Linked DNA regions of Lonchura striata. The protein of the gene in region 1 purifies or fractionates together with the protein of each later gene. This does not show direct contact. Links are inferred from orthologs where the notes say so. Each region holds a gene or a part of one and is shown in the gene's direction. Other genes may lie near its edges.

Evidence for each region.
Region 2: the proteins of FOS (region 1) and COP1 purify together in Homo sapiens (affinity purification with mass spectrometry; 4 studies listed by BioGRID and IntAct, counting the BioPlex papers as one, with this or other methods). This does not show direct contact. The link is inferred for Lonchura striata from reciprocal best matches to the Homo sapiens genes FOS and COP1.
Region 3: the proteins of FOS (region 1) and STK40 purify together in Homo sapiens (affinity purification with mass spectrometry; 3 studies listed by BioGRID and IntAct, counting the BioPlex papers as one, with this or other methods). This does not show direct contact. The link is inferred for Lonchura striata from reciprocal best matches to the Homo sapiens genes FOS and STK40.

What each region holds. Positions count from the first base shown.
Region 1 is NC_134608.1:23,109,085-23,117,062, reverse strand, and holds FOS (protein c-Fos), read left to right. Parts: upstream 1-4,949; 5' UTR 4,950-5,087; coding exon 5,088-5,228; intron 5,229-5,633; coding exon 5,634-5,879; intron 5,880-5,993; coding exon 5,994-6,101; intron 6,102-6,221; coding exon 6,222-6,839; 3' UTR 6,840-7,623; downstream 7,624-7,978. UniProt on the Homo sapiens protein: Nuclear phosphoprotein which forms a tight but non-covalently linked complex with the JUN/AP-1 transcription factor. In the heterodimer, FOS and JUN/AP-1 basic regions each seems to interact with symmetrical DNA half sites.
Region 2 is NC_134611.1:3,320,918-3,328,674, forward strand, and holds the start of COP1 (E3 ubiquitin-protein ligase COP1), read left to right. Parts: upstream 1-4,756; 5' UTR 4,757-4,762; coding exon 4,763-5,100; intron 5,101-7,757. UniProt on the Homo sapiens protein: E3 ubiquitin-protein ligase that mediates ubiquitination and subsequent proteasomal degradation of target proteins.
Region 3 is NC_134628.1:4,218,934-4,226,067, reverse strand, and holds the start of STK40 (serine/threonine-protein kinase 40), read left to right. Parts: upstream 1-4,061; 5' UTR 4,062-4,155; intron 4,156-7,134. Other genes in the region: U7 snRNA-associated Sm-like protein LSm10, read left to right, coding at 1-201, 1,805-2,181. UniProt on the Homo sapiens protein: May be a negative regulator of NF-kappa-B and p53-mediated gene transcription.

The sequences.
Region 1 (7,978 bases):
TGTTTCTCCAGGCAGTGATAAAGGCTCAGAGTGTCTTTCTTCCTCCCAGACTATCCTTTGTAATCCTTTGTCTGTCCTGAGTTGCCTTGAGCCTTTCTTTCCCCAGAGCACTCCCCAGTCACAACAATTAGAAATCTTCTTTCTGTCCCGCGCTAAACAATCTTCAACATCCTGTTCCTTCACTTCAGCTGCTTTGTTCTCCATCTGTAACAAAATCCCCTTAACTAAGCACAGTGGCATTTTCCTCCTTCTTCTCAGCACTTCCTCCTTTGCTACCTTTGACCCATTTTACTCAAGAGCCACTACACTAACAGAGGAGCAGGACCCCTGTACCCAGCCCCAGTCCCTTTACTCAGCCCCCAGCACAAGCATCAGTATTGCTGCCCAGCCACACAGGAAGGAGGTAGTTTGTGCAATGTGACCATTCAGCTCCTACCTCCAGAAAGCTCTTGGACACAACAGGAAGCCCAAGCTTTCTCTTGATTGTGTGGGTTTTTATTGCAGGCATCTCATGGGGTTCCATCAAGGAAATAAATCCCAGCTATGCTTGCCTTGTTTGGATCTTTTCTGATAATCAGAAAAGTCCTGCATCATCCTGTCTGTCACTGGGTTTGAACATGCTGCCTTTCACTGAGCATGTTTTCCTCTCCTCCAAGCTCATTAGTGCCCTGGGACTGTAACTGTGAGCATGCCCAATGCCCTGGGATGGGCCTGTGGTGCTGGAGCTGGCAGGGAGCTAAGAGGCCAGCTTGGCCATGGTGTTCCGGCTTTGTCGCACTGCCATAGCACACACGGCACATTGGTGGTGGCAGCAGCAGGAGTTTTATCTGGAGAACTTTGTGCTCCAGTTGCCCTAGGTTATGAACCCTGGTTCGTGGGGTGATGGCTGCCAGCCTGGCCTTGGGGCAAGAGGGTGCAGAGGCAGTGCTTCAATGGGCGAAGCTCTTTCACACCTGCTGGCTGTGAGCAGTGCACAGGTTCCTCAGTGTGTGCAGCAAGGTCCAGCTGTGCCTGGCGAGTCAGTATCCAGCATGGTGCAGGCAAAGAGTGATGAGAATAAGTGGGATGGCACAACAGTAACATCCGCAGTAATTGGTGGCCCATGGCACGCGGCTGTGCGACCACGAGATGCCAGGATGTCTTTGATCGTGGTGTTTATTCTTTAGGATGTCCCTGTCACACACCCAGCTGCTGTGATTATTAATTACTATTTATACTTTGCTTTGGGTATGCACTGTACCTTTAAGACCAGCAGAGGTGGGAGCCCTGCCCTCCCGGAGGCTCCCAGGCTAGGTAGAAGGGTGACAGCTGCAGTGTGTCTTGGGGGGAATTCAGGACACTCAGATAACATACTATGAGCCCTTTCTCCACCCTTTGCTCCCCAGCCACATCAACAGAGGGGGCAGGCTCTTGCCACTGGTTTTTCAACCCCCTTTTCTGCTTTTCCATCCCATTTTCTTCTAAGCCCTGCAGCCTCTGCCTGACTTTAAAAGCCTCTCTGGGGACAAGGGGAAGGATGGGATCCCTTGTGCATTGTAGGACACCAGGAGCAGTGGATGTGCAGGTGTGTTCGGGGAGAATTTCACAAATGCCCCTGGATCCTGCCTATAAAATTTGTACCACAACAGGTGCTCAGATTATTGTGCGGATCCTCTGATAGTATGAGCAGGATGCTTGCTTCCCCAGGCAGTGATGAATTCTCAGTGCAGGGGTGCTATTTTTTGGTGTCACAGCAGTGCCCCATGCATGCCAGTTCTGCTGCTGAACTCTGGCTGTCTGGTCTCCTTCCCAATGACCCCAACAGTCCCTGGTTAGCTGGAAGCAGATGTCCATCACGTTGTGTGTCTAGAGAAGGAATATGGAACATGCTACAGTCAGCGCTGCTGACAGAGAGTGGGTTGAGATGGTCATGTGACTACCAAAGGGCCATGAACTTTCCCCTGGTGCATGGCCAAATTTAGGCACAGCCATCTCTTGCCCCTGAAGTGGGTTTTGACTGTGTAGTTGCCCTGGCACACATACCTCAGGTGCTTTTCTGCTGTAGTTTTCCAAGGTCAGCCTGAGTTGCAGGCTCAGGTGAAGGATGGGTGTGAAAGTAGAGCCAAGTTCCAGTGCTGTACTCTGAGGCTTAGGGGCTCACTGTTCTATTATAAGCCTCAGACCTGCAAGCTTTCCCATCTCCCTTCTTGGTAGGAGAAAAAGTGGAGGCCAGGAAGGTGGAGGGGCTCTGTTGGCATGCAGAACAAGAGCTCATTGGATGGATGCTGTCCTTCTGCCCTGCCGGCCCCATTGTGATGCCCAAGAAGTGAAGTGGGAATGGCGTCTTCTGTCTGGCCAGGCACCTGGGAAGAGTCATCTCCCTGCTGGTGACAGTCAGCAGCCAACTCCTCCTCATCAGCATGGGACCCAGAGGTGCAGTGGGCTTGTCTGAAGCAAGGGAATAGTCCCTAGAGAGGTGTGTCCCTGCAGATGAAGCCTGACCAAGCACCACTAGAGCATGTAAAAGCCCTGCTGACCCTGGTTGCACAGGTTTAATAATGTTGTAGTGTTCACTGAACTCATGGTCCACTCCACAGATCAAACTAATTTATCAGGGTCTAATGCCTCTTCCCGTTCCCAGCTGGCAGGGGAGGTGAGGAACCTCCATCAGCCTGGCATGCTGGTGAGGGCAACCCTCTCACCCAGGCAGGAGGGTTCATGCTCTGACTCTGTTTTGTCCCTGTGGTACCGCCTGCTTCCTTTTTTTGTTCTCACACATACTGTGGTAAAACGTGTGCACCCTGTGTTTGGAGCAAACAACAAACCCACGTCATGTGTTTTTGCTTTCTCTGTTTCGCTGCCCCACGTGTTAGAAATGTGCGGCATCTGTGCACTTTCCATTTGGTACAAACAGATCATGCTTGTCACCAGTGGAGATGGCAACAAATGGTTTGCATGGGCACCACAAAAATATTGTGGGTTTTGGTGAAGTGGATTCCCTCCTGATTTCCTGACACTTCTTTTGGGGAAGGTGGTTTGGGTAGAGGAACCCTGGGATAGTTTCTAGAGAGGAGGGCTAAACAGTATTTTTCCGAAATGTGCCTGGCAAATATCTGAGACTGGAAATTGTGTCAGAGGCTCTTGCCCATGCTGGGCACCGATACGTTGACCTAGGCCCTGGTGGGGATGTGGCTGCAGGGGTTTGGCCTGTTGCTCACTGCTGGCAGGGATGGCAGAATCGTGGCTTTGCTAATTTGCTGGCACGTCCCTCCTCTGGGCAGTGCTGAGGGCCTCCTCACCTGCAGCCTCGGGCTGCTGAAGAGACCATACTTGCCCCAGTCTTTTAGTAGCTGGCATGAGGGGAATGCTGGCCAGAGAAAAGAACCCATGGCACCACAGGAACCTGGGGTGACAGATGCCTGCCCCGGGATGGACTAGCCTACGGGCCAGCACTGAGCTGATGAGAGCAGCACGGGCCCCCGCAGGTCCTTTCCCAGGGAGCGGTATGGGCCGTGAGCTGCGGCAGTCCTTGGCTGTCCCCTCTGCTCTGACGGGCAGATCAGAAATAGCAGCTGGCCCAGTTCTCCCGCCCCCGTGGCCCAGATCTCTAAGAACGGAGGTTGCTCGCGCAGCAACAGCAACAGCAGCAGCATCAAGCGCTGCATTTAGCCCATGAGCTCAAACAGAGGGAGAGGCTGCCAGCAGGATCCCAGCCTGGCTGGGTGACGCTCCTGCCTAGAGACTGCGCTGCAGGCTCTGTTTGTTGCTGTAAACACGCTCCCTGCTGCAGCTTCCCTGTTACTATCTATAGCCGCGATCTCTTGGCTCCCGTGCAAGGCGAGTCTGCGGTCTGGCTCCCACCTTAGCCTGACCTGAGCCAGGGCTGCCTGACATCCCCGTCGTGGGTGGGTGTCTCCGGGCTTCGCTGCAACAAGGATCAAAACAAAACCCAAACTGGAGGAAAGGACGAGCCTCGCCCCTCTCTCTCCTCGTCGGTGGTTTCCCGGTGGCCTCTTGCCCATGCTCTTGGCGGCTATCCCAGCCCCCCACCCCCACCCCGAGCGCTGCTCCCAAGCTCTCCCAACCTTCCCGGAGGGCTGCGGCCCCTCAGGCTTCCCACCGCCCTCTGCCATTACCCTCACTCTCGACAATTACAAACATACATGAGAGAGAAGTCAGTACTGACACATGAGCATAACGCGCTCCTCGCTGGAGGGACGCGTGGAAGTTGAGCTTTCCGTGCATGGGGCCCACTGAATACCAGTGCCCAGCTAGGGGCAGACCCCGCTCAGTGCTGACGATGGGGCTTGACTTGCAGCGCAAAGCGCACCCCTGGCCCGCCGGGCCCCTTCTTCGCCGCCTTCCTTGGAGCACCTTGCCCCAAGGCTGCAAGGCTGTGCGGGGCCCCGCTGAAGGGAGGGGCGCACTTGCGGCGGGCCGGCGCCCCCGGGGAGGGGGTCAGCTGCTGCGGCACGGCAGCCCCCAGGGCAGGGTCGGTGCCCCAGAGCCCTCGCCGGGTCTCGCCAGGCGATGGGGGAGGGGCCGGCGCGTCCCGAACCGTCCCGTCCCGTCCCGCGCGCCGCCCGCCCGCCCGCCGCACTTGGCTGCAGCCTGGAGCGCTTCCCGTCAGTCACGCCCCCTCGCACAGGATGTATCCCATATAAGGATATCTGCGTCAGTGGGTTCCCGAGCCCGGCCGTACCACTCCGCGCGGGGGGGCAGCTCCGTGGCCGCTCCCTCCTGCTCTGCTCTGGGGCCCCCCTGCCCCTGCGGCCTCCCCCCGCCCCGTGCTGTGGGTCTCTCCCGGGGGGGGCGGTGGCAGACTGCGCGCGGGGCGGCCCCGGGGAGGCGCGGGGCGGGCGCGGGGCGGCCGACCCCCCCCCACAGGCGCGGGTGGCACGTCCCCTGTGACGTCGCGGGAGGGTATAAAAGGGAGGCACGGCGCGGTACTCCAGCAGCTCGGGCAGCCCCGGCGGTGGAGCGGAGAGACGCGCGGCGCGGACCAGGCACAGGGACGCACGCAGCCGACCCCTCCTCGCTTCATCCCCAAGGACACTTTGCCACCGTCGCATCACCTCTCACCTTCGGCTTGCGCGTACCGGGCCGACATGATGTATCAGGGCTTCGCCGGAGAGTACGAGGCGCCGTCCTCCCGCTGCAGCAGCGCTTCCCCGGCCGGGGACAGCCTCACCTATTACCCCTCCCCGGCGGACTCATTCTCGAGTATGGGCTCCCCTGTCAACCCGCAGGTGAGTTGCTGAGCGTGCGGGCTGCGCTCTTGGCCGGGGCAGGGCAGGAGCGCTCAGGAGGGGACGGGACGGGAGCGGGTGGTACGGGGCTAGCCGTGTCCGCGGAGGAGGTCAGGCCGGGGACCGGCATGGGGAGCGGCCCCGGTGCCGAGGCGGGGCGGTCGGGGGGTGCCGTAGCCCGGGCCGCGCTCTGCGGCGGGTGTGTAAAGCGGCTTCATTGATAAAACGCGAGTTCATTGAGGAGACTCCGGAGCAGCGTCTGCGTCAGCGCGGACGTCAGAGATATTTATAACAGGCCGCTCTCGTGTGGAGCCGGCGCTGGCAGCGCGGCGCCGCGGCCCCGGGGACGGCGGGGAGCGGCCCGGGCGCTCCGCTGACGGCAGCCCCCCTTCCTCTGACCTACAGGACTTCTGCACCGACCTGGCCGCCTCCAGCGCCAACTTCGTGCCTACGGTGACGGCCATCTCCACCAGCCCTGACCTGCAGTGGCTGGTGCAGCCCACTCTCATCTCTTCAGTGGCCCCTTCCCAGAGCCGCGGGCACCCCTACGGCGTCTCGGCGGCCGCCCCCACCACCTACTCCCGCCCCGCAGTGCTGAAGGCGCCGGGCGGCCGCGGACAGAGCATCGGCCGCCGGGGCAAAGTCGAACAGGTGAGTGCGGATTGCAGCTGATGGGGGGACCGGGGGGACGCGCCGCGGGCGGATTGCCCTGGCCGGGGGGCACCGGGCTGGCAGCGGGACTGAGCGATCTCTCTCTGCCCGCAGCTGTCCCCGGAGGAGGAGGAAAAGAGAAGGATCCGCCGGGAACGGAACAAGATGGCAGCGGCCAAGTGCCGCAACCGGCGGCGGGAGCTCACCGACACGCTGCAGGCGGTAAGTGCTGCCCGGGAGGTGGCTGGGATAGAGGGAGTACCGGGGGCGGGGATGACGGGAGGAAGAGGACTCCAGCTGGGAGTGATGCCGGCCCTGGCTGACAGCCTGCTCTCTCGGCAGGAGACCGACCAGCTGGAGGAGGAGAAGTCCGCGCTGCAGGCGGAGATTGCTAACCTGCTGAAGGAGAAGGAGAAGCTGGAGTTTATCCTGGCGGCCCACCGGCCCGCCTGCAAGATGCCCGAGGAGTTGTGCTTCTCCGAGGAGCTGGCAGCTGCCAGCGCCGCTACCGCGCTGGACCTGGGCACCCCCAGCCCCCCCATGACGGAGGAGGCTGCCTTTGCTCTGCCGCTGATGCCTGAAGCGCCGCCGGCCGTGCCGCCCAAGGAGACCAGCAGCAGCGGGCTGGAGCTCAAAGCTGAGCCTTTCGACGAGCTGCTCTTCTCCACGGGGCCGCGGGAGGCCTCCCGCTCGGTGCCCGACATGGACCTGCCTGGGGCCTCCTCCTTCTACCCGTCGGACTGGGAGTCGCTGACTGCCGGGACCAGCGGTGAGCTGGAGCCCCTCTGCACCCCTGTGGTGACCTGCACCCCGTGTCCCAGCACCTACACCTCCACCTTCGTCTTCACCTACCCCGAGGCAGAGGCTTTCCCCAGCTGCGCTGCCGCGCACCGGAAGGGCAGCAGCAGCAATGAGCCCTCGTCCGACTCCCTCAGCTCCCCCACCCTCCTGGCTTTGTGAAGGGCTCCGGCATTGACTGACCTGCTGGGCCCCCTCCCCTGCCCACGCACCCCCACGGACTTGCAGCTGTGCCCCATGGGGCTCCCCAGGCCTGGGGAGGGCCCTGCCACCGCCACCCCCTGTCTGGCCTGGTGCCCCGGGGCCTGGCAGAGCGTCATGCACCGAGGTCTCTTACCTCTTCCAGAGATGTAGCAAATCGCATGGAGTTTGTCTTGTCCCCAGTGGCCCATCCATGAGAGCTGGTAGTCTGTAGCATGTCCCACATGGCTGGGTAGGTGACTCCCTCCCCTCCTTAGTATCACTAGCATTAACTAATTAATCTATTGGTTTTAAATGATTGGAATTTAACCTGGTGCTGGGTATCTCCAACTCGTATCTAGTGCAGCTGATTAACAATAACTACTGTGTTCCTGGCAATATCGTGTTCTGATGACTTAGCAATGACCCATCTTACGTGGGGGGAAAGAGACTCTATTTTATTTTCTAGTAGGTAGATAAATAGCTATATCCATGTACTGTAGTTCTACATTGATGTTCATTGTAACTTTACTGATCATGCATTGTTGAGGTGGTCTGAATGTTCTGACATAAGTTTTCCATGAAAACGTTTTTATTGTGTTTTTAATTTATTTATTAAGATGGATTCTCAGATATTTATATTTTTATTTTATTTTTTTCTACCTTGAAGTCTTTTTTGACATGTGGAAAGTGAATTTGGATGAAACTTAAGCATTGTTTGCTTATTATTGTTCAGAGACATTGTCAATAAAAGCATTTAAGTTGACTGCTGGAGCTGTCCTTGTGTTACCTTTTGCACTTGCTTCCCTGTGCCCTCAGAGGGGTTCCCTAGCCTCTAATTTTGTCTGGGCTTTATAAACTGCAGAGACCTGCAATCTGCCTGAGACTTAGGGTGCTTCAGGGTGGGAATACCATTTAGGGCAGCCCTGTCCTTGTCCTGGTGCTAGTCAGGTCTGGCTGTGGTTACACCCATTCTGGTAGGCTGCAGGATCACTCCCTAAGGCCCTTCCTAGCTGATCTGTCTGGGTCTGGTCCCCTTCTGTGTCTGTGTGTCACCTGCTGTGCCCTTTGACCAGCTAGCTGGAGGTCTTGCTGGAAAGGTGGTGAAAGGGCACCTCTAG
Region 2 (7,757 bases), on another chromosome or scaffold:
AGGCTCAGAAACGGAAGTAGAAGCAATTTTCCTAATGAGTCATCAACAATCCGGAGCCTGGCGCCTGGGAGGTGACTGTCACTTCCCTGAGACACGCAGCCCATGGATCACTTCGTGTGGAAGAAGTCTCAGTCTCCCTGCAAGATGACTTATGCAGAGTATCCTTAATGATTCCGTGGCTGGACTCCATGGCTGCAGCTGCTTGTTGCACAAGTAAATGGAGCTGCAGCTGCAAATGGCACAGACTCGAGTGTTAAGTAGGGTTTATGTACCCAAAAGAGCAGAACCTTACACTGCTACTAAAGTTCATTCATCTATAGATAGTACTTGGATTCTCCTTCCTTTAATGCCATGGGTAGGGTGTCTTCTCTCTTTGCACAAGATGAGAACTGCTACTTTGCTGGGATGTTGTCAGCAACTGGCTTCAGAGGCTAAAAACACAGATAAGTTAGAGCAGATTCCTCCAGTCAGTCTTACAAAATGTACATCTGTCAGAAATACCAGTTTCTTTGCGTAAAATACCCACTAAGGAGTACAGCTGGAGACAACTTATCCCAAAGAAACAGATTTGTTTGCAGCCTAAGTTTCAGGCCAGTCGGGAATACGTGATGTTTGCTTTCTGTACTTGATCCACACAACTCTGAAAGCAGGCAGACATATCTCCACTAAGACTAAGTTGGGAAATAGAGGCAATCCTCTGAAGCAGGACCTATGAGGAGTGTGCTACATGAGGGCGCAGGTGTCCCCACACCAAGACTTTCCCCTCTGTCCTGAGCCCATCATGAGTTGTGCTCCAGTGCAGGGTTCTGGCCTGCAGGCAGTGCAAAGGCACACTGCTGGCTGGAGGAGGCACAGAAACCTCTCAGCTGATCTATCCTCTTTCACTCTTGTACCCTCGCCACTGATAGTAATCACAGTGTTGTTGATACCTGGACTAAATCAAACCAATTCTTAGAGCTCATCTTGTGCTAACAGGAACTAGAAGATAATTGACAAATCACTGTTCCAGCTGCAGTGCACTGGAGCTGGAAGACTTTTTTCCATGTCCTTTTTCCTGATATAACACAAAGGTATCTCCAGTAAGCAGCACCTAACCTTCCCTTTGGCTGCATACATGGACTGTGGAACTGGTAATGCAAGGTAACCCCAGGAAAGAAGTGTCTCCAGAGCCAGAGGCTGCTCCCAATGCACCTGGGCAGTGAAAAGAAGATATTCACTCAGAGGGTCTCCAAGAGCTCATAATGGTGTCCTGAAGCTCAGGAACCAGGGAGATCTTCCGTAGGTATTGAAGTGCTGGTAGTCACACTCATTGCCAGGGCTGTGGGTGTAGGTGATGTTGTGAAGGCCAGTTATGTATCGGCATAAGTGCTCACACATTTGTTCTCTAACAGCTTTTGCCTGTGTCATCTTTTTCTCTCTGGAGCAGTCAGTAATGGCATCAGCAAGACTTTTCAAGGGTCAGTCAGTATTTCAGTGTGAAGCATGGGATTGTGCTATTGCCAATACTACTGCTTACTACTTCTGAAAGTCCATTGTAGGCACTCATCTATAAAGTTTTTGATCCTTCTGGAAGAGAAGGAAATGAGACTTCCCTTTCTCTTAGCAATAGAAAATAAGATGCACACACAGACACTAACAGCCAGGCTGAAAGAAAGGTCTAAATAACAGCAATTCTCTTTTGCTTCCACTGAAAACAAGGGGAAACACTACACTTCAATGACTTTATGGAGCTAGTCTTGAGATCTGTGAGTCGGAAAGCTATTTACAGAAAGCAGGGGAACCCAATGGCTTTAAAAAAACCACAAACCCAAAAGAAAATACCAAAAAGAGTCCCCAGAGCTATATTAAAAAACGTTTTTAATAACAGCAACAAAGAGTTAAATCATGGGAGTGACTCTAATAGCAGATGTCGCCTTGTAAAGGTGAGACTGCTGACCTGGATCTCTCAGGGACTCTAACTTTGAATTTCCGGGCTTGAATTGAATTCCTCAGAGACATTCTGGGTTTTGCTGACTGCCTTGGTGATTTTTCCTAACATCAGGGGTAAACATACAGAGTCAAATACCCAGTAGTATTCCAGCACCTCTGAGAGGGGAGGTCAGGAGGAGCACTCCGCAGCTCTACCCCTCCAGCTGCACCTGCAGGGTAAATCCAGAGCTGTGTTTTGCCCTTCTGCCTTTGGGACATTTGTCATCCAGCATCCCTGACAGCCTGGGAGGTCTCCTGACCAATACTGCCTACCTGAAGCACCTTTTTCTCTCTCTCAGACCAGTTTTACCAGCTCCCATACTGGTTTTACGGCTCACTCTGCTGTCCCTGCTGGGAGGAGTGCTGCAGCTGATCTTTTTGGGCGTTTTCCCATACCTGGGTTTAGGATTACCCTCCTCAGGGAATGCCCTAGTGTTTCACCAGCTGCCTCCTCCACTCCAGACAAGTAAAGCTGACTGTGGACAATACAGTTGCTCAATGCAAAGGAGGCAATATGTTTCCAAAGGCTGTTGAAAGAGAAATTAAAGGGAACAGCAGCTATCTCCCCACAGGACTTCTGGCTGAGCCAAGGAGTTGACAAGTGCTGTGTTTCATGAACTTTTCAGTTTGGCATGTAAAAGGCTGGATCTGGGGACAACATTTCTCATAACACCCAAAACATCTTTGGGGCATCCTTTATCAACACTTTTCTAATTAACTTGTGCAGAAACTGGTCTGCCCTTGCTGTATAAAACTCAGGCCTGCTGTTGGGAAACAGGAACCCAACAGGCTATGGTCCTCACCATTGGGATTCCCACCCACCCGGGCAGAAGAAAGCTGCCTCAAACCTGGGAAAAGCTGTTCACTCACCACCAGACATCTGTCACAGAATCACAGAAACATTTAGGTTGGAAAATACCTCCAAGATCATCTAGTCCAATCTGTGACTGATCACCACCTTGTCACCCAGACTAGAGCACTGAGTGCCATATCCAATCTTTTCATGAACAGCTCCAGAGATGGGGACTTCACTACCTCCCTGTTCTAATGCTTAACAACCTCTTTCATTGAGAAATTCTTCCTGATGTTCAACCTGAACCTCCTCTGACCAGGTTGAGGCCATTTTCCTCTTCTCCTGTCACTTGTTACCTGACAGCAGAGCTTGACCCCTACCTGGCTACACCTTCCTATCAGGGAGTTTAATAAAGTCCCCTCTGAGCCTCCTCTTCTTCAGCATGAGCCCCCAGAGCTGCTACTCAGAGGACTTGCTCTCCAGCCCCTTCTCTGTTGCCACTGTTGTCCTTCTCTGGAGCCACTCCAGACCCTCAAAGTCTTTCTTGAAGTGAGAGGCCCAGAACTGGACATAGCAGTTGAGGTGAGGTTGCTGCTGACCAGCACCCTCAGGTTCTCCTCCACTTGGCCACTCCTCCTCCAGTCTGTTACACTGCCTAGGATTCTTGTCACCCAAGTGCAGACTAGGCACCTGTTGAACCTCACACAATTGGCCTTGGTCCATGGATCCATTTCTTTGTGTGGGGCTGGATGGCATGGGATAAAGCTCAGCATACTTAGAGCTGCCCTTTGGGGTACCTAACTAAGGTGAAGAACATCCTGTGAGAGACAGAGCAGCCCTGCCCTTCACAGGATCTCTTTGTGGTGCTGGGGGCCCAGGGAGGGTCTCTGAGTGACAGCCTGGCACATTTCCCTCTGAGGCCAGGGTGCCTTCCCCTCAGTGCAGGGAGATCACAGAATCACAGACTCAATTAGGCTGGAAAAGACCCGTGAGGTCATCGAGCCCAAGCTATGAGCCAGCACCAGCTTGTCAACCAGACCATGGCACCATGTGCAGTCTTAAACACCTCCAAGGGCACTGACTCCACCGTCTCCCTGGGCATCCCATTCCAATGAATAATCACCCTTTAGTGTGAAAGAATTCCTCACTATGTCCAGCCTGAACCTCCCTCGGCACAGCTTGGACTATTTCCAACCTATCGCTGCTTGCCTAGGAGTAGATTCCCACCCGCACCTGGCCACAACCTCTTGTCAGGCGGTCACAGGGAGCGAGAAGGTTCCCCCTCAACCTCCTTTCCTCCAAGCTGAGCTCCCCCAGCCGCTCCTCAACAGACTTGTACCTCAGGATTGTGCACCACTAGATGTGCTGTCAGGGGGAGCAACTTGAGGCGCAGCTGGAAGCTCCTGACCCACACTCCGAGCCCGCGGCTGAAGTAGGAAAGCCCAAGCCCAAGCCCAAGCCCAAGCCCAAAGCCCAAGCCCAAACCCAAGCCCAAACCCAAACCCAAGCCCAAGCCCAAGCCCAAGCCCAAGCCCAAGCCCAAGCCCAAAGCCCAAAGCCCAAGCCCAAACCCAAGCCCAAGCCCAAGCCCAAGCCCAAGCCCAAGCCCAAGCCCAAGCCCAAGCCCAAGCCCAAGCCCAAGCCCAAGCCCAAGCCCAAAGCCCAAAGCCCATCGGCCACGGCTCCGCCGCTCCGTGAGGGGAGCGCGGCCGGCCCCGCCCCGCCCCGCCCCTCAGGGGCGCGGCCCCGCCCCGCGCACGCGCGGCCGCGCTGTCCGCCTGTCAATAAAGCTTGAACAAGCGCCGCGCCGGGGCCGCCGTTTTGGGTTTTTGATTTTTTTTTTTTAATTGCGGGATTTTTTTTTTTTTTTCATTTTTCTTTTTTTTAATTCTTTTATTCCTCCTCCCCGTTTTCTTCCTCTGAAGGAACTTTATTTCCCCTTCCCCCCGCGCGCACGGGGATGCGCTGAGGCCGCTCCGCCCGGCCCGGCCCGGCCTCGGCATGTCGGGCAGCCGCCCGCCGCACCCCGCCGTGCCGCCCGCCGCCACACCGGCCTCCTCTTCCTCCTCCTCCTCATCCTCCTCGTCCTCCTCCTCCTCCTCCTCGGCGGCCATGGCCCCCGGCTCGTCCTCCTCGGGCGGCGCGGCGGCGCGGCCCGTGCTGGTGGCGGCCGCCGTGTCGGGGTCGGGCGCGGGGCTGGCGCGGCTGGCGGCGGGGCCGGCGCGGCCCGGCGGCTCCTCCGCGGCGCCGGGGGCCGGCGGCAGGAAGAGGCCGCTGCTCACCCCGCTCTGCAACGGGCTCATTAACTCCTACGAGGACAAGAGCAACGACTTCGTGTGGTGAGCGCGATATGTCGCGATATGTCACCGGGGGAAGGCCGGGCGCCGCCATGCCGTCGGGAAGCCTGGGGAGTGTGGAATAGCGGCGGGAGGAGGGAGCAGCCGGCAGCCCCTCCTGGCGCTGGGACGGCTGCTGCCCGCCGGGGATTGTGGCTCGGGGGTTTTCCCTCTTTTGTGCCTCTGTCAGAAATAGTGTGGCCGGCAGGAGTAGGGAAGTGATTGTCCCTCTGTGCTGGGCTCTGGTGAGGCCGCACCTCCAGTCCTGTGTCCAGTTCTGGGCCGTTCAGTTCAGGAAGGACGTGGAGCTGTTAGAGCAGGTCCAGAAAAGGGCTGCAGAGCTGGGGAAGGGCTGGAGCACCAGGACTAGTTGGGAGGGGATCTCCTAGGGTAGCCTAAGGAGGAGAAGTGACTCGGGGGAGACTTTGTCACTTTCTACAACTCTGTGACAGGATGTTGCAGCCAGGTGGGGATCAGACTCTCTGATAGCTAGCAACAGGACAAGTGGACACAGCCTTAAGCTGTGCTAGGTTGGATGTTGGCAAGAATTTCTTCCTAGAAGGGTTGATTATATATTGAAATGGGCTGCCCAGGGAGGTGGTGGAGTCACCATCCCTGGAGCTATTCAGAGAACAACTGGACATAGCACTCAGCTAGTTGACACCACTAGTTGGCATGGTGGTGTGGGGTCGTAGGTTGGACTTGATGATCTCAGAGGTCTTTTCCAGCCTAACTGATTTTGTCTGGTTTTGGCCCTATGTAGCGGCATTGCCTCCACCCTCTCTATTTTTAAGCAAAATCAGGTTATTCCTGGCAGGTTCCTCCTTGAGTGCACCCAAGTTGTTGGAAAGGCCCTGCAGCACGAGATGTTTCCTCACAACGTTCTGACAACACAGCAACTGCCTTGTTTTCCTGGACAATGTGACCTCGAGTGGTCTGGAGCCCTCTCATCTTTGGAAGAGGATTCATCAAAGGATTAAGTGCCCCTCTGGAAGGGACTCCAAGGACCCTCATGATGTTTGATAGCTCCAGCAAAGCTGGCTTGGTTTGCCCATGTTGCTGGGAAAGGTTGTCTAGTTTGAAACTGCAACAAGTTTTGTATCAGGCAGGCACCTACAACCAGTTTAGTAGGGAATTTCTTCTGTGATGGTCTAAAAATTTTACAGATGTTGTTTTCTAGCACCCAGCCATTCAACTGTAGCTCATAGCTGGAAATCACCTTTCAACATAATTGGCAAACTGAGGCCCATGGTTTGAGAACTGTTGGTAATTTGAATCTGTTGCTGGCAGGTTTCAAATGTCCCAACACAAGAAGTAGGTTTGGTTTTTGTAGTTGAATGTGCTAAAATGTGACAACAGGAAGTAAGGTTAGGTGTTTGCCTCTGAGAAAGGCAAACAGGGAAGAGGTAGTGGGAAAAAGATCAAGTTGTAGCAGTCATGGAAAGGAGATAGTAAAAAAAAGTTGATTATAAGTGGGCCACAGCTTCCAAGATTATTTTGACAGCTCTAATGTAAGCTCTGACTTACAGGTGAGGATTGGATGTGAGGCATCTCCCAGAGGACAGGTATTGTCTCAAAACCTTGTAGGCTTAACTTTACAGCTTGTAAAGTGTTTAGCAGAGTAGATAGGAAATACCTTTGCTACTGAAGTGAAAACCTGAAGCTAATAAGTTAGTAGCAGGAAAAACAATAAGTTATTCTTGTTAGGAATTAGTAACAGTCAAAAATTACTGCTTTTACTGTAGTTAGTAGTTTGCTCAGTAGCAGAATGGGGATGAGAGGACTGCTGTCATCAGCTGATGCCCTGCTCTGGTTCTAGGCCATGTTAGGTGGATTTAGGAGCTCTTGGTGTGAGCTTGGTTGCTCCCAGGTTTTCTGGTCATGGGGTATGAACACAGCTACAAGTGCCCATTCTCCTCTGTTCCCTCTACTCTTACACTCTGGCAGTAGAGTTCTGCCAGCATGGCTCCCTGCCCTTTCCAGTCAGCTCTTATGTCCTATTTTGTTGTCTGTTGAAGAAATGAGGGGTTTGGAAAGGAAATTACACCCATAACAAATTTGTAGACTTGATGTATTTTTAGATGGTTCAGAAAGCTGAGGTTCTTGCTTTTTTTCTGCAGGTAAGTACTGTGCGTGCTTCAAGGAGAACCTGTAATTAGCTGTTTTCTTCTCATTGAGAAGCACTACTGACTGAACAAGTGAGAGGAAAGAAATCAGCCCAGTAGCACTCAGGGCAAAATGTCATTTCTTAGTATTTACAAGAGCCACACTGAACATACTGAAGTACAGGTCAGAAGCTTTATGAGCAGACAATGGTTATAGTTAACTTGGGTTTTTCACTGCTCTATATTTCTGTGGGCTAAAGGGCTTGTTCTTACTTATTATTGTTTTAGCTTCAAATAACAGTATCTGTCTTTTTTTAAATTTGATTTAGCAATATAGTTATGTAGAAATAAACCAAACTGGGCAGCTCTGAAGTTTTGAGCAATGTCCAGGAAGGCAGGTGTGTGTTAGTTTAAATAATTGATTTAAACAAGCTTTACATATCTCAGTGTGAGAAACAGAAGTTTCCCCCATGCCTTTTTGCCTCTGTAAGGATAATTCAAGATGCTGCCAGAGGCAGAGAGCAGACTTGCTAATTTTTCTGAACATGAGCTGTA
Region 3 (7,134 bases), on another chromosome or scaffold:
GACATAGGGACATTGGGACAGGCGGACACCGGGGCACGCGGACAGCGGAACATGGGATATTGGGACACGCGGACACCGGGACAGCGGGCACGGCGCGGCAGCGGGCGGAGCCGGCCCGCCGCTTCCGGGCGGGGCAGGGGCGGGGCCGCGCGTGCGCGAGGGGCGGGGCGGCGCGGCGAGCGCGCGGGAAGGCGGCGGCGCGTGAGTGCGGGGGGGGACGGGGACACCGGGACCGGGGACAGCGGGCGGGGAGGGGCTGGGGGCACGGACAGGGCGAGGGGGACGGGGGGGCGTGCGGTGGGAGTGCGGGGTGGGGTGAGAGCAGGTGGGTGTGAAAGGGCCGCGTGTGCGCGGCTGGGGTGCGTGTGCAAGGTGAGAGTGCAAGGGCGCACACAGCGTGTGTGCGTGCAGGGCAGCGTTTGAGGGTTGGTACGGCGTGCAGTGTGTGTGCAGGGGATGGCCCGTGGGTAGGTGTGTGTGCAGGGATTGGTCCGTGGGCAGGATTTGGTCCGTGGGCAGGTGTGTGTGCAGGTGTGTGTGCAGGGGATGGCCCGTGGGTAGGTGTGTGTGCAGGGATTGGTCCGTGGGCAGGTGTGTGTGCGCTGGTGTGCGTGCAGGGGATGGTCCGTGGGCAGGATTTGGTCCATAGGCAGGTGTGTGTGCAGGTGTGTGTGCAGGGGATGGTCCAAAGGCAGGATTTGGTCCATGGGCAGGTGTGTGTGCAGGGATTGGTCCGTGGGCAGGATTTGGTCCATAGGCAGGTGTGTGTGCAGGTGTGCGTGCAGGGGCTGGTCCGTGGGCAGGTGTGTGTGCAAGGATTGGTCCATGTTCAGGTGTGTGTGCAGAATTTGGTCCATGGGCAGGTGTGTGTGCAGGGGATGGTCCATATACAGGTGTGTTTGGAGGTCTTGGGCCACGGGCAGGTGCGTGGGCAGGATTTGGCCCATGGGCAGGTGAGTGAGCACGGGATGGTCCATGGGTAGGTGTGTGTGCAGGGGTTATTCCGTGTGCAGGTGTGCGTGCAGGGGATGGCCCATGTACAGGTATGTGTGGAGGGCTTGGTCCATAGGCAGGTGTGTGTGCAGGTGTGTGAGCAGGATTTGGTCCGTGTTCAGGTGTGTGTGCAGGTGTTGGTCTGTTGGTAGGATTTGGTCCATGTTCAGGTGTGTGTGCAGGGGCTGGTCCATGTTCAGGTGTGTGTGTAGAGGTTGGTCCATGTGCAGGTGTATGTGCAGGGGTTATTCCATGGGCAGGTATGTGAGCAGGATTTGGTCCATGGGCAAGTTGTGTGTGCAGGGGTTATTGCACGTGCAGGTGTGTGTGCAGGGGATGGTCCATGCACAGGTGTGTGTGCAGGGGATGATCTGTGTGCAGGATTTGGTCTATGGCCAGGTGTGTGTGCGGGGGATGGTCTGTGTGCAGGGCTTGGCCCACGGACAGGTGTGTGTGCAGGGGCTGGTCCGTGTTCAGGGGCTGGTCCGTGTGCAGGTGTGTGTGCAGGGGCTGGTCCGTGTGTAGGTGTGTGTGCAGGGGCTGGTCTGTGTTCAGGGGCTGGTCCGTGTGCAGGTGTGTGTGCAGGGGCTGGTCCGTGTGCAGGTGTGTGTGCGGGGGCTGGTCCATGTGCAGGTGTGTGTGCAGGGGCTGGTCCGTGTTCAGGGGCTGGTCCGTGTGCAGGTGTGTGTGCAGGGTTTGGCCCACGCACAGGTGAACGTGCAGGGCTCAGCCCATGGGAAGGGACTGCTCGGTGTGAGGCACAGCGGGTGGCTGTCCCCAGCCTCTGTCCCCAGCCCCCGTCCCACCGCAGCCGCCATGGAGGTGAGCCACTCGCTGAAGGAGCGCACCATCGCCGAGAACAGCCTGGTGATCCTGCTGCAGGGCCTGCGCGGCCGCGTCACCACCGTGGAGCTGCGCGACGAGAGCGCGGCCGCGGGGCGCGTCACCAGCGTGGACGCCTTCATGAACGTGCGCCTGGCCGAGGTGACCTTCACGGACAGGCGGGGCGCCGTGTCCCAGCTGGACGAGCTCTTTGTGACCGGCAGGAACATCCGCTACGTGCACATCCCCGACGAGGTGGACATCCGGGCCACCATCGAGGAGCAGCTGCAGGCCATCCACAGGGTGCGCTACTTCGGGGGCCGCGACAAGGGCCGCAGGGAGTTCCCTCCTGCCAAGCACAAGTGAGGAGCTGGTGCTGCCCACCGCAGCCAGCATGGACCAGGCACGGGGCTGGCATGGAGGTGCCCCTTTGATGGACTGCCAGCTCCCTCCATCCCACACGACATCCCCCAAGGAATGTTTTCTCCCAGGGACTTCAGGGTCTTGCTGTTCCCCACACCTGCAGAGGAGCAGGACTGTTTTTTGTAGTGAATAACACCACTTAAAGGCTCTGTGGTCTCTCTGCTCATTTCCTGTTCCATTGGCAGCTACTCGTGTCCCTCCTCCAATGGCCAAAGGAGCGGAGCTGCCATCCCACTGCCCCTGGCTCAGGCTTTCCTTGCCCGCTGAGCAAAGGACTTGCTGTCACCAGCATGGCTACCCTGGGAGCTGGAGCTGTTGGTGCTGAGCTGGGCAGGGGCTGGTTCTGGTCTGTGCTCAGAAGAGAGCGAGATGAAGGGGAACGTGCAGAGGAAGAGGCAGCATCGTCTGTCCCAAAAAGCAGGAACGTGCTTTACCAGGATGCTGGCACTGCCGGCTCCTCTGCTTCCTGCCCCTCCATCACCAAACTCTGCCGTGCTACCAAAGTCTGCAGCCCTCCTTGGCCAGTTCCCACAGGGACCCGCGGGACACGGAGCCTTGTGGCCTCTGCGAGCGGAGCTGGTGGCTGTGCCCCAGGGGTGTGTGTTTGCACAGCCCTGTGGCTGGGCAGCAGCACCGGGCAGAGCAGGGAGCCCAGCCCGGAGGGCTCCAACCCCGCTGGTCCCAACCCGGGGCTCAGAGCGTGGGGGTTCTGTGGTCCCAGTCCGGGGTGTTCTAGTCAGGGGGACCCAACCCAGGGTGTCCCAGTCTGCAGGTCCAAACCCAGGGTGTCCCAGTTCGGGTGTCCCAGTCTGGGATATCCCAGCCTGGGATGTCCTGGTCTGGGGTGTCCCAGTTCAGGGTGTCCCAGTATGGGGGTCCCAGTTTGGGTGTGCAGTTCAGGGGGTCCCAGTTTGAGGGTCCCAGCTCAGGTGTCCCAGTTCGGGGGTCCCAATTCGGGTTTCCCAGTTCGAGGGTCCCGGTTTGGGTTGTCCCAATTTGGGGGTCCCGGTTCGGGTGTCCTGGTTCGGGGTGTCCCAGTTCGGGAGTCCCGGTTTGGGTGTCCCAGTTCGGGGTGTCCCAGTTTGGGAGTCCCGGTTCGAGGGTCCCAGTTTGGGTGTCCCGGTCCGGGGTGTCCCAATTTGGGTGTCCCAGTTCGGGGTGTCCCAGTTTGGGGGTCCCGGCTCGGGTGTCCCAGTTCGGGGTATCCCAGTTTGGGTGTCCCAGTTCGGGGTGTCCCAGTTTGCGGGTCCCGGCTCGGGTGTCCCGGTCCGGGGTGTCCCAGTTTGCGGGTCCCGGTTCGGGTGTCCCGGTTTGGGGGTCCCGGTTCGGGTATCCCAGTTTAGGGGTCCCAGTTCGGGGTGTGTTTGCGGGTCCCCGTTTGAGGGTCCCGGTTCGGGTATCCCAGTTTAGGGGTCCCAGTTCGAGGTGTCCCAGTTTGCGGGTCCCGGTTCGGGTGTCCCGGTTCGGGGGTCCCGGTTCCGCCGGGCGGGGCTCTGTGGGCGGGGCCTGTGTGCTCTGTGGGCGGGACCATCTTGACAAGCCCCGCCCCTTGGCCAATCACGGCGCGTTCGAATCTCCCGCGTGCTCACCAACCCTGCGGGCTCCTGGCCCAGGCCTGAGCCAATCAGCGATGGCTTCATCGCGCCACAGCCAATCAGCGCTCGCTGCTTGCTTCCCTCGCCTCTGCACGTCCTAACCAATCAGAGCCAGCTGCAAAACCCGGTCCGGCCCCCGGGCTCTCCTCCAATCACCGCCCGCGCTGTCGCCGTCGCCCAATCAGCGCCGCCGTTTCCCCGTTCCGGCGGCGGCCAGCAGGGGGCGGGCTGGCGGCGGGGGGCGGTGGCGGCGCGTCACTTCCGGTGCCAGGCGGCCGCCGGAGCGGAGCGAGGCCGGGCCGGGCCGGGCCCGGGGCCATGGGTGAGTGAGGGGCGAGAGAGCGGGGAGCCGGGACAGCGTGAGTGAGGGGCGAGAGAGCGAGGGGCGAGAGAGTGGGGAACCGGGACAGCGTGAGTGAGGGGCGAGAGAGCGAGGAACCGGGCCCGGGTGAGAGAGCGGGGAACCGGGACAGGGTGAGTGAGGGGCGAGAGAGCGGGGGGCGAGAGAGCGGGGAACCGGGACAGCGTGAGTGAGGGGCGAGAGAGCGGGGAACCGGGCCCGGGTGAGAGAGCGGGGAACCGGGACAGGGTGAGTGAGGGGTGAGAGAGCCGGGGGAACCGGGCCCGCGGGGGGAATGGGGCGGGCTGAGGGGAGAAGCGGGGATCGGGTGGGATATGGCCCCGGTCCCCGTCCCCATTCCGGTGCCCGTCCCGGTGCCCCTGTGCGCTGGACCGGGCGCTGCGGGGAGACGCGCCGGTGGTACCGTTCATGCACCGGGCCTCGACGGGACCGGGCCGGGGCAGCCCCCCAGGTGCTTGGGGGCTTGGCTGCCCCGCTCGGCTCGGTGCTCTCCAGGCCGGGGCTGGGTTTGAGCCCCGCGGGGGCTGGGGCGGTGCTGCCAGCACGGTGGCAGGTCCGTCCGGGAGCCGAAGGAAGCACGGCCCGTGACTGGGGTCACGGTCCAGTCTGGGCAGGAATCTTTGAATTTAGACTTTCGGGAGCTGTATGCGGAGGAGGAGCCTCGTGTGCCTCAGCAGTGAGTAGGTGAGGGCTGTGTCTCTGGGTGAGGGTGAGTAACATCAGCAGGTGTCAGAGCAGGGACAGACCCTGCCCTGCACTCCGTGGGAGCTCACCTGAGGGGCTGGGGCACCTCCCACCCCCAGAGCCAGGTGCTGTCCCTCTCTGGTCTGGCCTGTGGGAGCCCTGCTGCCTGTGCAGTGCTGAGGGTGTCTCACTGCTGGGGGGACCTCATGGGGCATCGTCTCCACCCCTGTATGGGGGATTTAGGGTTGTGCCCGTCCAGCTGCTCCCTCCTGCCCAGGCTGTGCTGAAATGTGCTGCACCAGAGTTGGGGATTCAGTTCTTTGCTAGTTTAGAGCCCTAATGGCTAAAAGGCTTAACATCTGCTGGTATAAACAGGTGTGCTGGGGGTCTCGGGCTGCAATCCCATATCCAGGGGGAGCTGGAGAAGTCAGAGCAGAGGCCATTGCCTGATGTGGTGGGGCTGAGCCACCGCCCCTCTGCCCTGTGCTGTGGGACAGATGGCTGCTCTGAGGCAGCAGGGACACAATGGGGCACCCAGGTGAGGCACCTGGCACCCAGGTGAGGCGTGGCTTGAGGGACAGCACGGGAGCACTCACCTGCTGGCATGGAGCCCTGGGCTGGCAGCACTCAGGATTCAGGACATATTTCCCCGTTGCTGGAGGGCTCGTGCTGCATCCTTTGATTGTTTCTCTGTGGTATCCATGCTGAGGGATTGATCTCATAAGTGTGCTCCTTAGAAGCAAAGTTCAGCTGGGCTGTGGCCCTCAGGATGTTTCAGAGCTTGGGAGAGGCAAGGGAAGCCTCATAGGTAGCAAGCTGTGCTGTGATTCAGCACAGAAAGGACACCAACCTGTTGGAGCGAGTCCAGAGGAGGCACCAACCTGATCAGAGGGCTGGAGCACTTCTGCTATGAGAGAATTGGGGTTGTTCAGCCTGGAGAAGAGAGCCTTCAGGGTGACATAACTGCCCCTTCCAGTGCCTGAACGGGCCACAAGAAAGATGGACAGAGACTATTTACAAGAGCCTCAAGTGACAGGACAAGGGGGCATGGCTTTACACTGACAGGGGGCAGGGTTAGATGGGATATCTGGGAGAAATTCTTGCCTGTGAGGGTAACCTCTGGCACAGGTTACCCAGAGAAGCTGTGACTGCCCCATCCCTGGAAATGTTCCAGGCCCCAGGTTGTTCCAGGGCTTGGAACAACCTGGGGTAGTGAAAAATCTCTTTACCCATGGCAGGAGGGTAGAAGGGTCTTTAAGGTTCCTCCCAACCCAAATTATTCTGTGACTAGGAATAGGAACAGCCCTGGGAATTGTGCCTGACCTGCCCACTGAGCTCAAGGGATGTTACCTGCGCAGAGGCTCCAGGCAGGTACAGTGTGTGTCTCCTTCCTGCCTGGGACCTCTTGCTGGACAGACTAGGCTCTGTGTGGCCATTTTCTGTGTGAAACAGGCTGTTTTGGTTAATATTTTTTCATGAGTGTGCAGTTCCTGTCAGTGTGTTGTCACACTGCAAACCCCGGTAGCGTAGGCCTGGCAATGTGTGCAGGTAACTTCAACACGTTTGTCTCCAGGTAGGGCCAGGTGAGTCACTGCTGAAAGAAACTGCAGCCACACCTTGCTGGGAAGTGGCAGCACGTGTGTGGGTCACACTCTGTGCACGCAGAGGTCCTGCTGCAGGGGCTTATAGCATATTGATAGTGTCAGAAGCAATCAGTGAGAAATTAAACCTTGTCATACAACCCACTGCTCACCCCTGGTGGGGTTTGGGAGGTGAGCACAGCCTGACTGCAGGCACAGACCAGGTCAGGGACTCCTGTGCTGGGGCAGCAATGCAGCCTCAAGTGCTGCAGCTGCATTTCCAGGCTGCTGCTGTGAGGGTGTCGTGCTGGAATGAGGATTTTTTCTGGTAGATGTGGCCTGTGCTGCAGCACGAACGGGTTAAGCTGAGGTTGGTGTTTATGTAACCAAAGAGGGAACTCCCAGAGATGAGTCCTTGGCTATCTCATGTGTTGATGCATCAGAAGGGCTTGAAGAAAGCCTGGCTTGTTGCTTGCGCCGTAATTACGCACTGGAAGCCTGTGCTTCAGAGTTTCCCTGGCTGCCGGGGGGGCAGCCAGGATGGAATTTGCTTTCCCTGATGTGTGACTTGGCCTGTGGAAGCCTTTTTTGTCCCTGAGAAGTTGGAGACTGACCACAGCTGGATGTGGGTGGAGGTAAGGTGTGCTGGGCTCCTGCAGGGGCTCCCAGGTCTGGC